4 linked regions of the Arabidopsis thaliana genome follow. The protein of the gene in region 1 interacts with the protein of each later gene in a pairwise test. Each region holds a gene or a part of one and is shown on either strand. Other genes may lie near its edges. The genes, in order: AT1G05410, RECA3, AT2G32650 and AT1G49850.

The links.
Region 2: the proteins of AT1G05410 (region 1) and RECA3 interact in a two-hybrid assay, tested with the Arabidopsis thaliana proteins (one large-scale study listed by BioGRID).
Region 3: the proteins of AT1G05410 (region 1) and AT2G32650 interact in a two-hybrid assay, tested with the Arabidopsis thaliana proteins (one large-scale study listed by BioGRID).
Region 4: the proteins of AT1G05410 (region 1) and AT1G49850 interact in a two-hybrid assay, tested with the Arabidopsis thaliana proteins (one large-scale study listed by BioGRID).

What each region holds. Positions count from the first base shown.
Region 1 is NC_003070.9:1,584,848-1,589,554, reverse strand, and holds AT1G05410 (CDPK adapter, putative (DUF1423)), read left to right. Parts: upstream 1-1,760; 5' UTR 1,761-1,959; intron 1,960-2,276; 5' UTR 2,277-2,286; coding exon 2,287-2,647; intron 2,648-2,831; coding exon 2,832-3,397; intron 3,398-3,464; coding exon 3,465-3,525; intron 3,526-3,623; coding exon 3,624-4,051; 3' UTR 4,052-4,184; downstream 4,185-4,707. Other genes in the region: AT1G05400 (uncharacterized protein), read right to left, coding at 4,311-4,394, 4,495-4,707.
Region 2 is NC_003074.8:3,133,315-3,137,942, forward strand, and holds RECA3 (RECA homolog 3), read left to right. Parts: upstream 1-1,558; 5' UTR 1,559-1,669; coding exon 1,670-1,732; intron 1,733-1,927; coding exon 1,928-1,991; intron 1,992-2,067; coding exon 2,068-2,285; intron 2,286-2,394; coding exon 2,395-2,482; intron 2,483-2,708; coding exon 2,709-2,881; intron 2,882-2,958; coding exon 2,959-3,105; intron 3,106-3,206; coding exon 3,207-3,341; intron 3,342-3,473; coding exon 3,474-3,755; 3' UTR 3,756-4,103; downstream 4,104-4,628. Other genes in the region: PAP16 (purple acid phosphatase 16), read right to left, coding at 4,188-4,406, 4,491-4,628.
Region 3 is NC_003071.7:13,849,334-13,852,633, reverse strand, and holds AT2G32650 (RmlC-like cupins superfamily protein), read right to left. Parts: upstream 1,646-3,300; 5' UTR 1,498-1,645; exon of another isoform or gene 1,263-1,497; intron 1,115-1,262; 5' UTR 1,088-1,114; coding exon 668-1,087; 3' UTR 646-667; downstream 1-645. Other genes in the region: AT2G32645 (B3 domain protein, putative (DUF313)), read left to right, coding at 1-247, 549-645; AT2G32640 (Lycopene beta/epsilon cyclase protein), read left to right, coding at 1,823-1,954, 2,244-2,361, 2,445-2,632, 2,714-2,821, 2,901-2,965, 3,081-3,186, 3,278-3,300.
Region 4 is NC_003070.9:18,454,286-18,458,304, reverse strand, and holds AT1G49850 (RING/U-box superfamily protein), read left to right. Parts: upstream 1-1,685; 5' UTR 1,686-1,860; coding exon 1,861-2,073; intron 2,074-2,162; coding exon 2,163-2,356; intron 2,357-2,633; coding exon 2,634-2,979; 3' UTR 2,980-3,461; downstream 3,462-4,019. UniProt on the Arabidopsis thaliana protein: Probable E3 ubiquitin-protein ligase that may possess E3 ubiquitin ligase activity in vitro.

The sequences.
Region 1 (4,707 bases):
TGTGAATTAGAAATTTCAATTAATTAAATACAATAAGAGGGTAATTTACGAGTTTTTGTCGTATATAGTATAAGGTAAAATGACTCAAAAAGCAAATCTTGATGGTAATCGAAACTTTAAACATGAAAAAGCGCCTACGCGTAAAGTATTTGTTTTTTTTCTTAGATTTGATAGAAGGGAAATAAGGTTATATACGGACATGCAAATATTTATATGTTTTCTCCATTATCAACATATACAAATTATATGAGTAAACTTCAACAATATAATCCAAAATTGTACTGTTTATCTTTATATTTTCACGCTTTTTTTTTCTTAATGTCATAGGCAAAAATTCTGCGGGGAGAGCAAAACCTTTATTGTTTAGTAAATAATTTTCTTCAATTCATTTACGAACTCTAGACATAATAAATAAATTAACGCCAAATAAGAGGAATTATTGTCCTTGCAAATATATACAGCAAGAACTCACGAGGAGGCAATGTTTGGACTAACCTAAACTGGCCATCTCATGACTCAAAGACGAAAGATCGATGTTTGTGCAAAGTACACTGACTCACTTCACTTCTCATTGATCAATCTTAACTAATATTTGTTCTCTTCCCTTTTTCAGTTTATCTTAGACCATTGTTTCTCCTAGCAACAAATTCACCGAATGATCATGTCGCGATTAGTTTTGGGATAAAATCATAAAATTGCTTCTCATCAAGAATTGCTCCGCAAAATCAATGTTCAAGCAGATTACTAGACCAAAATTTATGATCGAGTAGTCCGAATATAATCTTTTGCATTTAAAGCCTCTAAAATTTACAAATATCTAACCAATGTTACAACATGGCATGTACCTAGTACAAGCTACTAGGTTACAACTTCAGAGCGAAGAATTAAAAAATGAGAATCCTATATTAATGAATATTCTCGCTTGAGAAATCTATGCATGACAACTTTCTATCATCAACAATAATAATTAGATTTGATCAATCTCTGTCGACGAGAACCCGCCAAAAGTGGTGACTGAGAGACATGTCACACAACATCGCCCTATTTATACGTAGAAATATCGATCTATATATATATATATACTAGATCGACAATAATATGGTAAGTTTTTTTATTTTAAATATGGTAAGTAATAAATGCTTGTAATACGAAAGGCCTTTATGCTCTACTCATTGTTTGGTGTATAAAAAAAAAATGGAATCAAGGTGTCAGATATGATGGTACAGCAATTTTTAGCCCCACACGTTGTCATTTTTCTTTGGAAGGTACATTGAGATCAATTTCTATTTTTGTATTATTTTGAAATCATCATATAGTTTCATTGGATTTATCACAAGAGGAATCTTATAAAAATGCGAATGGGTATATCTATCTCTCTTTCAATATCTATGTCACACAAGTGTTGTTGCTATATTGTAGGGACATGTCAAAACTTGTCGACAAAAGCTCCATGAATGGGAAACATTGACATCAAGATACAAAATCACATGATTCTTCAACTTGTGAAAGTTTTCGAGTGTGAACATCAGACTCACATAAAACTCCATTGTAGATATCTCTTGTCATAAGACACTGTCACATTCAATATCGTTTTCAAACTCTCCAAAATACTGCCTGATTGCAATGTTACAATTTTGTCATGGACCCACCAATCCCTGTGAACCAAGCCGGTTACTGTTTATTACTCCGACCCGACCCGGGCTTTTTAAAGATAGGCCCAAGAAGGCCCAATGATTGAAATGTGAAATGTTTGATACATTGATGTTTTTGATCTTCGCTCAAACCCTACAATAAAACTTTGGTTCCTCCGAATTTCGAGTTCTTGTTCTTCCCAAGGCCCCTACTTCGGCCCTAGCATCAACCATTGTCGTTTTAAAGCTCCAGGTTTTCATGGCCAAGAAAGAAGTAACTATCGTTGAGATCTTCTGAAATTAATCAGTCTTGAAGTCTCTGGAGATTGTACGTTTCTCTTCTTCCTTTCCTCGTCGGTTTTAATGGATTCCGTTTGCCTGATTTGCAGTTTCTGCTTCACCGTGAAATCGAAACTCGTTTTGCTCTTAAACAAATATTATGCATGCGTTTCAATTTGGGTCTTTTTCTTGACAATATTGGTTCTGTTTGGATTAAGAAATTGAAAATTAGTTTTGTAGCTGAGCCTTTTCTCTTGTGTGTATAGGAACTGAGCTATATCAGTAGTGTATCTAGCATATTTGATTAATGTTCCTTCATGTTGTTCTTATTGAAGCTGCTTCCATTGGTTTTGTGATTGAGTGCAGGTCTTATAACATGGACTCCATGGATATTGATCAAAGTAACATAGGTGAATCGCCTCACCTTCTGCTGAGACCAGTAAGTCCATTGGAATCTGGTGAAGGTTTACCTTATGCTCCTGAGAATTGGCCTAATCCTGGAGATACTTGGCATTGGAAGGTTGGACCGAGAATTAGCGGTAAAGGCTACTTCGTGGATAGATACTTATATCCTCCTAAGTATCTTCCCGGTTTAGATACTGAAATATTGCGGAAAAATAAGGTGTTTAGGAGCAGGCTCTCGCTCCAACGATATATTCGTGTACACTTCCCTGAAGCGGATGTTCAAAAGTTCTTTGCTTCTTTCAGCTGGAGCATACCCTGCAGAGATGGTCAAGGTTCAATTTACTCTATATGATGCTTTACTCAAATATATACAATTCCAGTAGACTTACTATGTTTTTCCTTATGCTTCTCTCATCGCATGTTTCTGTTAGTTCTTCTTAACCATATGAATTACGTTTCAACATTCTGAACAAGTTACTGATTTCTTGGCATGGTGATTTGTTCTCTGTTTGACAGGTGTTTTGCCTCAGAAGCAGGTTCAGTTACCAGTGTATAGCTCAGATGAAGATCCAATGCGTGATGATGGATCTGATACTGCGGTCTGTAAGGCTGGTAATGAAAAATGCCGGAGCCTGATGCCACAGTGCGAAGCCGAGACTTTACCTGCTATGCCTTGTGACATTTGCTGCGGTGAACGTAAGTTCTGCGTTGATTGCTGTTGCATCCTTTGCTGCAAGTTAATAAGTTTGGAGCATGGAGGCTATAGCTATATCAAATGTGAAGCTGTGGTTTCCGAGGGTCACATATGTGGACATGTTGCTCATATGAACTGTGCTCTTCGAGCTTATCTGGCTGGAACCATTGGAGGCAGCATGGGATTGGATACTGAATACTACTGCAGGCGATGTGACGCCAAAAAGGACTTGTTTCCACATGTCAACAAGTTTCTAGAAATATGTCAGACTGTAGAATATCAAGGCGACGTGGAGAAGATCCTGAATCTCGGTATTTGTATCTTGCGGGGAGCACAAAGAGACAATGCTAAGGAGCTATTAAATTGTATCGAATCAACAGTCATCAAGGTATAATATACTTTGTAAAATGTAATGTTTACTGGACGTTCCTGAAACTAAAGCCAACTCTTTTCAGCTTAAATGTGGCACGAGCTTGGAAGATCTCTGGAATGATGATACACCAACTATATGGTCAGGTACATATCCCTTAATCACGATCCTTTGCTTTGACTTGAATATGTATTGAAGTTGATTTATTGTTCATTATAACAGATTATCTTCATTCTGGTTGTAGATTACTCCGACAGTGGAGAAGCTAGAGAAAATGATACATTGCAAAGTTTACAGGACGTGACTCCAATTGGGCCCATACCATTCAACCATGAGGCTGAGATGCACAAACTCGAAGAAGAAATCGGCGAGGTTCTAAGAGCGCTGAGAAAGGCTCAGGAATTTGAGTACCAAATTGCAGAAGGCAAACTTCATGCTCAGAAAGAATGTCTGAGTGATCTGTATAGGCAGCTCGAGAAGGAGAAGTCAGAGCTGTCGAGGCGAGTATCAGGTACAGATGCGAATAGCTTGATGACGAATGTGCTGAAGAGATTGGATCAGATTAGAAAAGAAGTCACAAAGCTTAAAGAAATGGAAGAAGTAGCCAAGGGATTTGGTAGGACACCTAGAGGGGTTCTTGAAGAGTACTTTCATCTAAACATCGAGGACTAAGATTTATATAAGCACATCCATAATTGTACATTCGTTATGACGTTTGTTTTGTAAGTTTTTGATTCTTCCTCGTAAATCTGAGTTTTGGATGGTCATTTGTTTATTCATTAATCAATTTACGAGTAACAAATGCACAAAAGGTACAATGAAAAGGTCTTCTCCTTCATAAATTGAGATTTAAAATGACAATTATGGAATTAAAAACTTGGAGCCATCAATTAGCTAAATGGCCTTAAAGAGATACAAAAACATAATATGATCAACTTTGGTTGCCACCCCTAGTAGCATTCTCCGGACAAGAATCAAGAGGAGGCTCACCTTTGGGGTTAGTAAAGCGTTGACGCTGCGAGGAAAAAGACAGACGGGGTCAAATTTAGGCAAAGAAAAGAACAACTGAGAAAGAGAGAATATAGTTAAACAAGTGGCAAGGATGCTTAAATTACCTTGAGTTCATGTTCTCGAGTAGAGAGATGCGTGATGAAATTATCAACGCCTTGGCCAGCAATACCTGGGCCACAAATACGACGGCACACAGAGCAAATCCAGGAGGCAGGTCCAGGCGTTTCACTGCAGCTATCCTCCTCCTCCTCAAGTGGCCCTGGATCAGCTAGAAGAAAGTTTTTCCAGAGGGTGGAGGAGGCTTCTCGAGGAGACTC
Region 2 (4,628 bases), on another chromosome or scaffold:
TTTATTTTTTTAAGTCCACAAAGGCCCCTGAGACTGTGGAGCGGGAAGATGACGAACATCCACTCACTCTTCTCTACAACACACCGGTGCAAAGTTCATATGTGATGTTTGTGAAGAAGATATGTCGGAAAAACTTTGGGTTTATTACTGCAAAGAGTGTGATTATGTAACTAGCTAGGCTTTCGATACATTTAAAACGTAATGTCGACCCAGTGAAGCATCCATCAAAAAAGCAAGGAGAAGTGCAATTTCGCCGTTGCATGCATATACACTCCACATTGTTAGAAACACCTACATTATGCTCGGAGACGCAGGAACAATCAATATTTAGGGATTTCTATATCTTTTCAGTCTTTATTTAGTACTTTTTATAAAGCGAAGAAGAAGCTCCCATTTATTTTTCGTAAACGCTTTGGACTAGGGTTAACGACGTTTTCCTCGTAAGATTGAACACAATATTCGGGATACGACTAAATAATGTAACAGTTTTTAATTAAAAAAATATTATTATCTCACATTAATGAAGTTGAATGGATCCTATTGGACATTACCGCTTAGCCTTGTTGTTTCCTCTTTTCGTTTTTATCTCCCAAATAGCAGTTTGTGTGTTAGTCTCTACGGCATTATGAAGGAGGAGCACAACTTTACAAGGGTCGAGAACTTGTCAATAGCACAAGACTCCACCTAGCTTTCATATCTTCTTACTCTTACGTACCAGACGTTTCGGGCCATCTAATTAATCATATGATATTCCGCAAATAAAAACAAACTAATACATTAAAATGATGATAATTAACACCAAAACCAATCGCCAAAAAATTTAAGAAAATAGCACCAACAACTTCATAATTCTTCTTCGTCATGAATCTCGTGGTCGAACTTTTTAGGTCTGTAAAGAGTACGCGGTCTCCTCCATATACCTACAAAATAAAGTAATTATAAAAAGCTTACAAGTTTAAAGATGTGCCAACAAATCAATGAACTTACTACTGTGATAATCTGGAGTATTACCTATTTCCATCACTCTATCATCACATTTTGATTTTGGTATGCAAGCAGGATCCACACCGCTTCGCTGGTTATCACCAGTTAGTGTACGTAAGTCAAACGTAATGAAGCGTCTGCTTTGGAAAACCTCGGAATTATGTGTTGGATATGTTTTCATGCTTAGGATACGATTCAATATTAATGAAGCGTCCACCAAAAGCAAGAGAACCAACAATTTCATTATTGAATTTGCACTCCACATTCTTAGACCTTTAGGTTATGCTCCACGCATGAACAATCTTAATTTAGGGATTTATCTTCTCAGATTTATTATTATATAGAAAAATAAAATCTTATTTGAGCAAAATGTTCGGGATAAGACTAAAGTTACACACAAAAAAAAAAAAAAAAAAAAAAAAAAAAAGACTAAAGTTACACCTCCCTTAAATTGTTACCTCTTTTCCGGTCCTCATATCAAACCGTTAAATTAGATTCCATTAGCCATGAACCGATCGGTTTAATACGGTTTTCGATTTTTATGTATCCACTTCTGGTTCAGGTCTTACCTCTTAAGGACAATGACCATGGCGGAAACTGGAGATCGTTAGTAGAAAAGGAGAAGACACAACTGTGGAATTGAAACTGAACAGCGAAGGAGGAGCCGCTTGAAGAAGAACGGGGCATGGGTCGACTCTCATGGGCCAGTCCGATTCAGAGATTCCGTTTCTTCTCTTACTTATCTCAGGTTCTCTTCGTCTCTAATGTTTCTCAACAATTCTTAGCTTGAGTATAAGAAAGAAAGATTTTATTTTTCAGATGAAGAAATTAGGACAACACTCCAACCAAAATAAAGTTATCTCCTTTAGAGTAGCATTGATGATTTGCCCAAGCTCCTGACTAAACAAATGTCTCTTGTGTTTACTCTTATCTTGCTTTGTAGCTGAATGGAAGAAGAAGCGTTTTGGCTTGCTCTGGCTATGAAAATCGTTATCTTTCGTCTTTAGGTAATCACTAATTTCCTTTGTCTTTTGATTTCCATACTCTGTATCCTGTCTTTATGAGTGTGTTTCGTTTGGTCAGTTGAAGCTTCAGATTGTGAACTTGATGAAGTTCCAGATGATAGAAAAGTAGCGGAGAAAGACACTGCTCTACATTTAGCATTGTCACAGCTTTCAGGTGATTTTGATAAAGACTCTAAGTTGTCATTGCAGCGGTTTTACAGAAAAAGGAGAGTTTCTGTGATATCCACGGGTTCCCTCAACCTTGATCTAGCTCTTGGAGTTGGAGGATTGCCAAAGGTTGTTGTTAATTTAGAGTCTCAGATAGGACTAGCCAAGCTAAAGGTATTGCAATTAATGAGGTCTCTAAATGTGTGTTTACAAGAGAACTTTGTTGGTTTTTGTGTAGGGAAGAATGGTTGAGGTTTACGGAAAAGAAGCATCTGGAAAGACAACTCTAGCTCTGCATATCATCAAGGAAGCTCAAAAGCTTGGAGGTACTGTTCTTGAATCCCATTCTCAATACATTTGTTTGAACAGAAACCTTGGGACTTGTTACTAGAATCCATCCTAAGTTGGGGACACATATCTTCTACTTTTTCCTTTCTTGTTTCTAGTGCGATAAGTAAGATTCGATTTTGTGAAGTTACAGTTTGATTCTGACTTGCTTTTGTTCTTCACTCCATTAGCTTTTTATTTATCTAAAAGACTTGTTTGTGCCAGGTTATTGCGCTTATCTTGATGCAGAGAATGCCATGGATCCTTCTCTAGCAGAATCAATAGGTGTGAACACAGAAGAGCTTCTGATATCACGACCTAGTTCTGCTGAAAAGATGCTAAATATTGTTGATGTGCTGACCAAGAGTGGGTCAGTAGACGTAATTGTGGTAGACAGTGTGAGTTCTCATTCTTTCATCTCAATATGTTCATATATTCTTTCTGCATCTGTTAATATTAAAAGTGGAATCTACAGGTTGCTGCTCTTGCCCCTCAATGTGAACTTGATGCTCCTGTAGGAGAAAGATACAGAGACACACAATCAAGAATAATGACACAGGCGCTCAGAAAAATCCATTACTCAGTTGGCTATTCTCAGACACTGATCGTTTTTCTTAATCAGGTAAAGGAAATATCACGGTTTACTTTCTTTTGCTCACTTAGTTGGATCGTATTGACCCACCTACCAAAGATAATATCTCTCTGCTTATTTACCTGATCCAGGTCAGATCACATGTGAAATCTAACATGCATTTCCCGCACGCCGAAGAAGTGACTTGTGGAGGAAACGCATTACCGTTTCATGCAGCTATACGTCTCAAAATGATAAGAACCGGGCTAATAAAGACTGCCAATAAGGTATAGTTAGGCACATTGTTACCATTGTACGTGTTACTGTAAGCTTGATTTGCCTTAATCTCTAAAATAATGCATAATTTCTGCGAAGGGCAGTAACATCTTTATTATCATTTGATTGCTTTGTTTCCTCAGATAAGTGGTCTCAATGTCTGCGTCCAAGTGGTGAAGAATAAACTGGCGCCCGGAAAGAAGAAATCTGAATTGGGGATTCACTTTGGTCATGGTTTCTACGTGGAGCGAGAGGTATTAGAATTGGCTTGTGAGCATGGAGTTATCTTAAGAGAAGGAACTAGCTATTTCATTGAAGGCGAGGTCATTGAAGGGAAAGACGCAGCTGAGAAGTATCTGGTGGAAAATAAAGAGGCTCTCGATACTGTCGTTGCAATCCTGAGGAACCAGCTCTTCAAGATGTGACAGAGGGAATGTATTTCGAGTTCTCCAAACAAATGTGTATGTTTCGATAAAGCCAAAAACCAATTGAGCTTTTCATCAACCCTGACGTCCCTATTAAACAACGTGGAAGGGACAGAAGCAGTTAGGGAATGCTAACTAAAAGGAGGATCAGAGAAGATGTGCAAAAGCTGGTTGTCATTAGATGATATCATCATAGTCATTGTTCTTGTTAGAGATTCTCCATCATGTATACTGCAGAGATTCCGGTTTCCTTAATGGGTTTGAACCGTTTTATCAAGCATTCTTTCCTTTTGTCTTGAACCAATCATCAGTTCATTTATTGGCTTATGGAAAGCAGTTTTTCTTGTCACTTAACAAGTTTACAGTGACCAAACCTACCAACAACTATAGGCACTATTACTTCTACAAAGTTTGACATATGTGATAAATAGACTAATCATATGTTAGGTTAACTTCACTGTGGACAGATCCATCTTCCATCCTAATCCAGGTCTTAATACGAAAGGGCATTTCAGAAATCTCCAAAATCCTTGATCCCCTTGGCCAATTTCCATATCCACCATAACCTGTGTGTCTCGCAAAGCAAAGCCAGAGTTTATCTTTGTACGGACAGCACCAGTCTAGTCCATGGTTGTGTCCTACAAACACTGCCTACTTACACAAAAATATAGTTCATTAAAGTTATATCAAACCAGTATCTAAGTGTTAAGCAATTTCGTGTTTAATAATTAGTACCTTAACGGAGGATCTGTTCTCAAGAACTCTCATCATCCCATTTTCAGCTTCTTGAGCAACAACTTTCTCTTTGTTGATTGATCCAACGCAAGGTTTTGTTATCCATAACCTTGGAGCTACTTTCTTGTATGCTTTACT
Region 3 (3,300 bases), on another chromosome or scaffold:
TTGAGTTGAGGAAGTGGAAGATGAAGGGAAACTGGAATTATGTCTTTGTTAAAGGTTGGAACGATGTGCTTGATGCTAACAAGTCGAATTCGTTTAAGGAAAAAGACGTCTTTCCTCTCTGGTCTTTCCGATCTGGAACAGGCAAACTCTGTTTTGCTCTCACCCCAAAAATTCCAGCAACGGCTCTACTTCAGGAGAATCTGGCAGTGGCGGCGATGGTGCTTCTACTTGAGGTGAATCTGGTCAGGTACCGTTACCCATTCCTTCGGCAGTAGATTCTAGCCACTCTGGCCAAGGCTGTTCAGGAGAGAGCAGCTCTAGTTCTTCCTAATCATAACTCTGCTTATTGCTTAAGCCACAAGTAAAACGGATTTAGTTTTCAGGCAAATCTGGCTTGGTTTTCTTTCTTTTTTTTGTTCAGTTGATGAAATAGTGGGGTTTTGTCCAAATATGATGTTTTGATTTGAGTTTCTTTCTTTATGTTTGATTTTTTTTTATCTCTCTCTGATGCTGCCTATGTTTACTTATGATTAGCATTGAAAATGCAGAACAAAGGAGAGAGAACTTGTTTTCTTATATTATCACAAAAAGATCCATCAGGCTACAACAACACACAACAAGTGTAAAGTTTCTTGGCTCTACTAAAAACTCAAAAGTCTAAGTTGGATCAATCATCACCATAGGCCTTGAAACAATACCGCTCAATATAAGGAGCGTTAAAGAAAAGATCAGCTTCCAACCATTTCGGATACCGAACAAGATCTCCAGCTAAAAACTGCATATACCTCTTGCTTCCTTCGGGAACTACTCGAACCTCTCCTTGTTCAATGTAAACCAACTGATCCACCTGCCAATCCCATGGCAATTTGCATTTCCCTGTCTTCCAAACTGACCATCTCGAAACCCCGAGTTCCTCCAACCGTTTCTGTGAAACTTTCCGTTCCACTTTAACATTGTATAGCTCCTCTAATGGTTTCTCTGTCTGCATACAAGTCACCTTAAAGGCTCTCTGAACAGACAGGTTATTTGTCTTCTTACATGCAGTGACAGAACCTGGGAATGGTGTAGTCATTATCAGACTTGCCATGGCTGCTTCTATCCAATCTTGTGAAACCTGAGATCCACAATGAACTTTAAATAACACATATCGAAATTCTTTGTGATGTGTTAAAGTCTTGTAACTCCTGAAACAGAGAAAGAAGGTGAATTTCTAAACTCTAGTGTGTAAAAGTGAATTATATTGTAAAGCTGAAGGCTTTATCATTTACTCTCTTTGCAATAGCTTATATGAATCAATGACACAGCGTAACACAAAAACTCACAATTCAGGAAATTAGCTAATGCCCATTTGCTATTTCGATTGGAAAAGTGAAAACTCATCGCAAAATTGAAGATATACGAATTTAACCCAACAAGTCCGCAAAAAAAGGTTGTCGATTTCAAAACCAAAAAAAAAAGCGGAAGACAGATTATACGCATCGAAATCGAATTTCTTACCAGCGGAAGTGTGAGTGAGAGTAACCCTTAAACCCTGAAGCAGTCAGGCTTATCCGATCCCCGATTTGATGAATCAGTAAAAAAGAAGAAGAGGATATAATAAATATTACAGAAACGATACTAACATTTAGATTTGTTTTAATTTTAGAACAGAAGTTTGTTTTGAGTTAATGTAACCCAAAATGTTTTTGTTTTGTAAGACTGTAAACGTGTCACATTCTCTGACACATTGCACAATCTTTCCAGTTTTCTCTTCACAAGTTTTATCTCTGTTTATCAAAAGTTCGCTCTTGGTTTTATAGCATTTGTTTTGGAACTCATTGTCATGGTGGTTCTGCAAATTCATCAGTTCAATGGGTTCGTTAGTTCCGTATCAAGGGCTCAGACAAACCAAGGAAGAAGGAGAGCTTCGACGACAGTGTGCGTTCAAACACAATTGGCTCCCTCTCTTACACAGGTCAAGCTTTCTGCTCAATTACGCATCCTCTGGGGGGAAATGAGAAAAAGTTGTGAACTTTATCAGGATTAGAGATGATTTTGTGGTCTGCATTGTGATGAAAGTTTGCTCTTGATAACTGATAATTGATTTTCATTGCACAGGAAAAGAAATTTTCATCGCTTTTGTTCTTTCTTAGTTGTTTTAGTATTTGAATCTTGAGAGCCTTTAAGCGAGATTGCATAAGCATGTTTAACTTCACGATGAGTTGTTTTTAGCTGAGTATGAGTTCAATCATTTCGATATGCAGAAGATAATGGAGAGTATTTCAGTTGGTGGAGAAGCTGGAGGTGCTGGTGGTGCTTACTCTTATAATGCCTTGAAGAGACTTGACAATATTTGGTCCAACATATGTACTCAACCAACAGGTAATAAGAACAATAGTCTTTTGGTAACCATTCAGATAATTAAGAAATATGCTTCTCTTGGTGATGAATGTTAGTCTTTGCAGGACCACAAGAAACTCAGCAAATTGTTTCTAGGGTATCTGGTTTTTCTCAAGATTATAGTATGGGGAATAATCTCGTTGGAACCTTTGACATAGTGGTTTGTGGGGGTACTTTGGGGATTTTTCTAGCCACGGCTCTATGTGCCAAGGGTTTAAGAGTCGCTGTGGTGGAGAGAAATGCAATCAAAGGGGTAAAGCTTCTAGTTAATGCTGTGGTTGAGGTCTGGTTGGAGAAGCTATTGTTAAAGCTTTTTGGTTTTGTGGTGATTTAGAGAGATCAAGAATGGAATATCTCAAGAAAAGAGATGAAAGAACTGACTGAAGTCAGAGTTTTAACCGAAGATGAGATCGAAGAAGTAATTGCTGCAAAGTTCAATCCGGTAAAGCTTCTCTTCAGTAAGCAATATCTTGATGCTTTATAAAAGTCATGTAGCTTAAGGTTATCTTGAACAAATGCAGAACAGATGTGGATTTGAGAATCTTGGTGATATATGGGTTGAAGATATTCTTAACCTCGGCGTTTCGTGAGTCCTGTCTTCTCTTATTCTCTAATACATAGGAAAAGAATAATCCCCTTGTGTTCTGCTACTTTCTGAAAGTGATGATTTGTTTGTTTTTTCGTTTTGTATGTTAAAACAGCCCAGCCAAACTTGTGGAAACTGTAAAACAACGTTTCATTTCTCTTGGTGGAGTCATTTTAGAAGACTCCAGCCTCTCGAGCATCGTCATCTACAATGATTTAGCTGTGAGTTATCTGGCGTTTTCTCCAAAAACATTGTACCTAAGAAGAGTATTCAGCTTATTGATATGAATTGTTTGAACATTTTGATTGACAGGTTATGCAACTTTCTAAAGGTGA
Region 4 (4,019 bases), about 17 Mb from region 1:
ATCAATAATTGCTCCATTTATAAAATTTTAGTGTTTCATAATTATAATGATCTCCCGCTTTCTTAGGAAACTCAGACAACCTCCAACGGTGATTCTAGATGAGCTCTAGAGAGGTGAGACCATCCTCAACGCCAGTATGCTATGAAAATTTATAAAAGGATAAAAATAATAATATTTTAATTTTACAGTTATATTTTAAATATTTTATATAGATAGACCAATAATAAAGATGAACGTGTCTTTGGGTTTGTGATATCGTCTCTTAGCTAAGAGTTTTTGGAATTTCTCATTCTCTCTCTTTTTTTAACTTTTAATTATTTTTATTTTTTTAATTGTTAAGAATTCTATTAAACAACTATCGTTAACGGTGGTCTGAAGCCCTTAGAAAAAAGCCAACATTTAAAGAAAAAATGTGATGAAGTGGATGGAACTCACTTTAGCTAAGAACATTTTTTGTTTGGAAAGAGGCCCATACCTATCATGTTTCATAGGTTCGGTAATGTGAGGAAAGAACATTAATTTTTTTTCCCGTGTATTTTTTTTCTCTTTTCTCTCGTAAAATCCGATGATGATTACGAATCGATCATCATCAACCGTCATCTAGATCATTAAGTAGAAGAAAACCAAAGAAGCTCGTCTCTTATCCGCCGTGATCATCATCATCTACACCGACGGTGCTCACATCTGCGAATTCGATGAACTAAATCGGAGAGTTTGTTTAACCAAATCGGAAATTTATGTGAAACTATGCTCCAATCGTTTGATAAAGGGTGAAAGCAACTAAATAACAACTAATAAATGAGTTAATTAACAAAGTGGCAATAAAAAAACAAAATTAAAAGAGGAAAATTTTATCTAGAACCAACTTGTATACTGCAACTAGTACATTAACAATTAGATTTGAGTTAAGCAACTAACTAATCAATAGTTTCTCCATTTATTCATTTTTTTTCGGGAAAAATGTTGTTTAATACACCAACTTTCAAAAAGTGGCCATTTAAACCATGAACTCCATATATGGCCAAATAAAACTTAGTAAAAGCGTTGACCGACCATTTTATACATCTCAAAACGTTGACCAGGCCAAAAATCCTGCGACGTTAGCAGTCGTTAACAGAGTCGATAACAGGCGTTAGCAGGCGTTAATTAATCCGTTTAAACACAAAAATCTTCAAACGAACAAAAATGGAGAGGCTTTTGAAGATTTTTGAATTTGGGAATTTTAGGGCATGAGAATTGGAATTGGGGATTTTAGGGATTGAGAATCGAATTGGGAATTTTGTTGGTTTCGATTAAACACAAAACGACGTCGTTTGTGTTTAAACGGATTAATTAACGTCTGCTAACGCCTATTATCGACTCTATTAACGACTGCTAACGTCGCAGGGTTTTTGGCCGGATCAATGTTTTGGAATATATAAAATGGCCGATCAACGCTTTTACTAAGTTTTATTTGGCCATATATGGAGTTCATAGTTTAAATGGCCACTTTTTGAAAGTTGGTATATTAAACAACATTTTTTCCCTTTTTTTCCGTCAATTTCTCCATTTATTCAGTTTAGTGTTTCATAATGCTCTCCCCGTTTTCTTGGGACCTATGTATTAGTGGACTTTACTTGGATAGGCCCAATAATTGGGCTTTTCCCCTTAGTTTTTTATTACAGCGACACCGTTTTTAAAGATGTTTTGTCTTAGCTCCGACAGCAAGTGGGAGATGACGTCACCTTTTCACTGCAGTTTCCCTTTACTTTTTCCTCGCAATTTTCTCTCTTCTCTCTCTCTGTCCTCCTTATCTCATCGTCTCTGACTCGCTGCACTTAGTTTCAGATCATATAAACGAATTTGGTGATTGATCGGTGCATGACGAGCGCATCGGAACTCTTCTCTACACGAAGATCACGTCCGGGTCGATCCGACCCGGCTTTAGAATCCGACACTTCTTCCTATCGACACCACTCACACCATCATCATCGCCGTCACGGCGTCCATCATCATAATCAGCGTCATGATTCCGACGGCTGTGATCCTCTCCGGCGACCCACTCCCCGTCTCCGACGCTTCTTTCACCATCCGGTTAGTTACTTTCCACCAAATTAGTAATTACTAATTTCAGTAGTTGTCTGAATTTGGTCCTTTTTACTAAAATCTCCCCTAATTTACAGATTCAGGAACGTAGTAGACCTATTCGTGATGTTCAAGGCACTAGTCAGTATTTAAATACGGATAGTACTGATACTGAAACTCAGAGTAGCAGCTTTGTTAACCTAAATGGATCCGAGAGGCTTCCTGGAGCTGTTCTGCTTGCAAGGGATAGACTTTTCGAAAGATTGAGAGGTGTTTCTTTGTCTAGTAACAGGTCTGTGCTTAACCCACTGATAAATTTTACAGCTTTACTTGATCTGCACTCTAGTCTGATTTTAGATTTCTTTAAAAATAATTGCTTTTGTCTGATCAAGATTCTTTGAAGCATGTTTTGATTTTGCTCTTGTTTCTTGTGAGGATTGGTCAAGACTTAGTGTAAAAATCAGTTTTTGTGGATTATTGTTGCTTTGTGTATTCTTTAATATCTTCTTTGAAGCCTCTTTTTCAAAATTTGGTTACGGATTTGTTTCAACTTTGTTTTTCTGATTCAGTCGAAGCAACAGAGTTTCATTGGATGATCAAAGGGAGTCTTCATTTCATTCTATAGATGGAGATCCAATTTTTCAACTAGCAGGGCTTCAAGTGACCTATGAATGCAACAAGAAACCACAAGGTCTTACTCAAGATGCTATTAACTGTTTACACCGGCAAACTTTTAGCTCAGCCGAGGTTAAATCCGAGATGAGAGATTGTAGCATATGTTTAGAGAGTTTCACTAAAGGTGACATGCTAATATCCTTACCCTGTACCCATAGTTTCCATTCTTCTTGCTTAAACCCTTGGCTTAGAGCTTGTGGAGATTGTCCTTGTTGCCGTAGAGCCATAGCAAAGGAATAGAAACTTGTAAATAGAATCTTTGCCTAACCATTAGGCCATAGCCATACACATCTTCTCTTCTTCTTGCTATAGACATCCTTAAAACGATCTTCTGAGTTTTGTCGCCCATGAGTGTTTTTTTTACTGTCACATGTTTGTAATGGTTTTTGTTGTGCCATTAGGCAGTTCAAGCGTTGATATCGTATGGTGTGAATCTTTTTAGTTTTATTCACTGTGATCTCTCTTTTAATGTCTTGTTGGTTATATGAAAGAGACTTTTTCCAAATCCAAATCTTGATCCGACAATTTGGTTATGCTTTGAGGTTATAGCTCAACAACTTAACGTTTTCATTTTCAGAAATTTTGATTGTCTCAATCTGGTGATACTACTTTAAAGCTTTGCTTCCTCTTCCAAAACGTTGTCATTATCATACATCCATGTACGTTACATATATTGAAGTCTAATATCAAAAGATTCAATCAATTTATAACAACTTTAAAAGAAAGTTATGCCAAAAAAAAGAGAACTTTAAAACAAAGTTAAGGCTAAAAGGAGAAGACAGTTGTGCACAAAAAGCTATTTTTTGCTACAAAAGCATATCAAAATGGACCCCTTTCTTCATAAATTCATGATCATCATCTTCAATTCCTTTCATAAAATCCCATTTATTTGCTCCTAACCATCACTTTCTCTATTGGGTACCTAACACACCTCACTCTCTAACCACTAAAATTAACAATACATACATTAAGAATGTCCTGCCTTTCTTTTTCTATCACATCAATTTCATGTCTTCGACAACATTAAAACCTATATGATTCAAATTCAACCAACTTAAAACGGTTTAGTTCAGTTTAAAATCAACGAAAGCTGAAGAAGATAAGAGAGCTTCACTTGCTAACAATTAACTTTCCATAGATTGAAATTTTGACTTGCTAGAAAAATATGAGACAAATTCAACATTTAAGCAGCAATTCTCCTTCTCTTGCTGCAAATAAATCCCATCACCTTACTCAATAATATTGAAGGCGACAAAGAAAATAAGAGAAATGAAACTTAA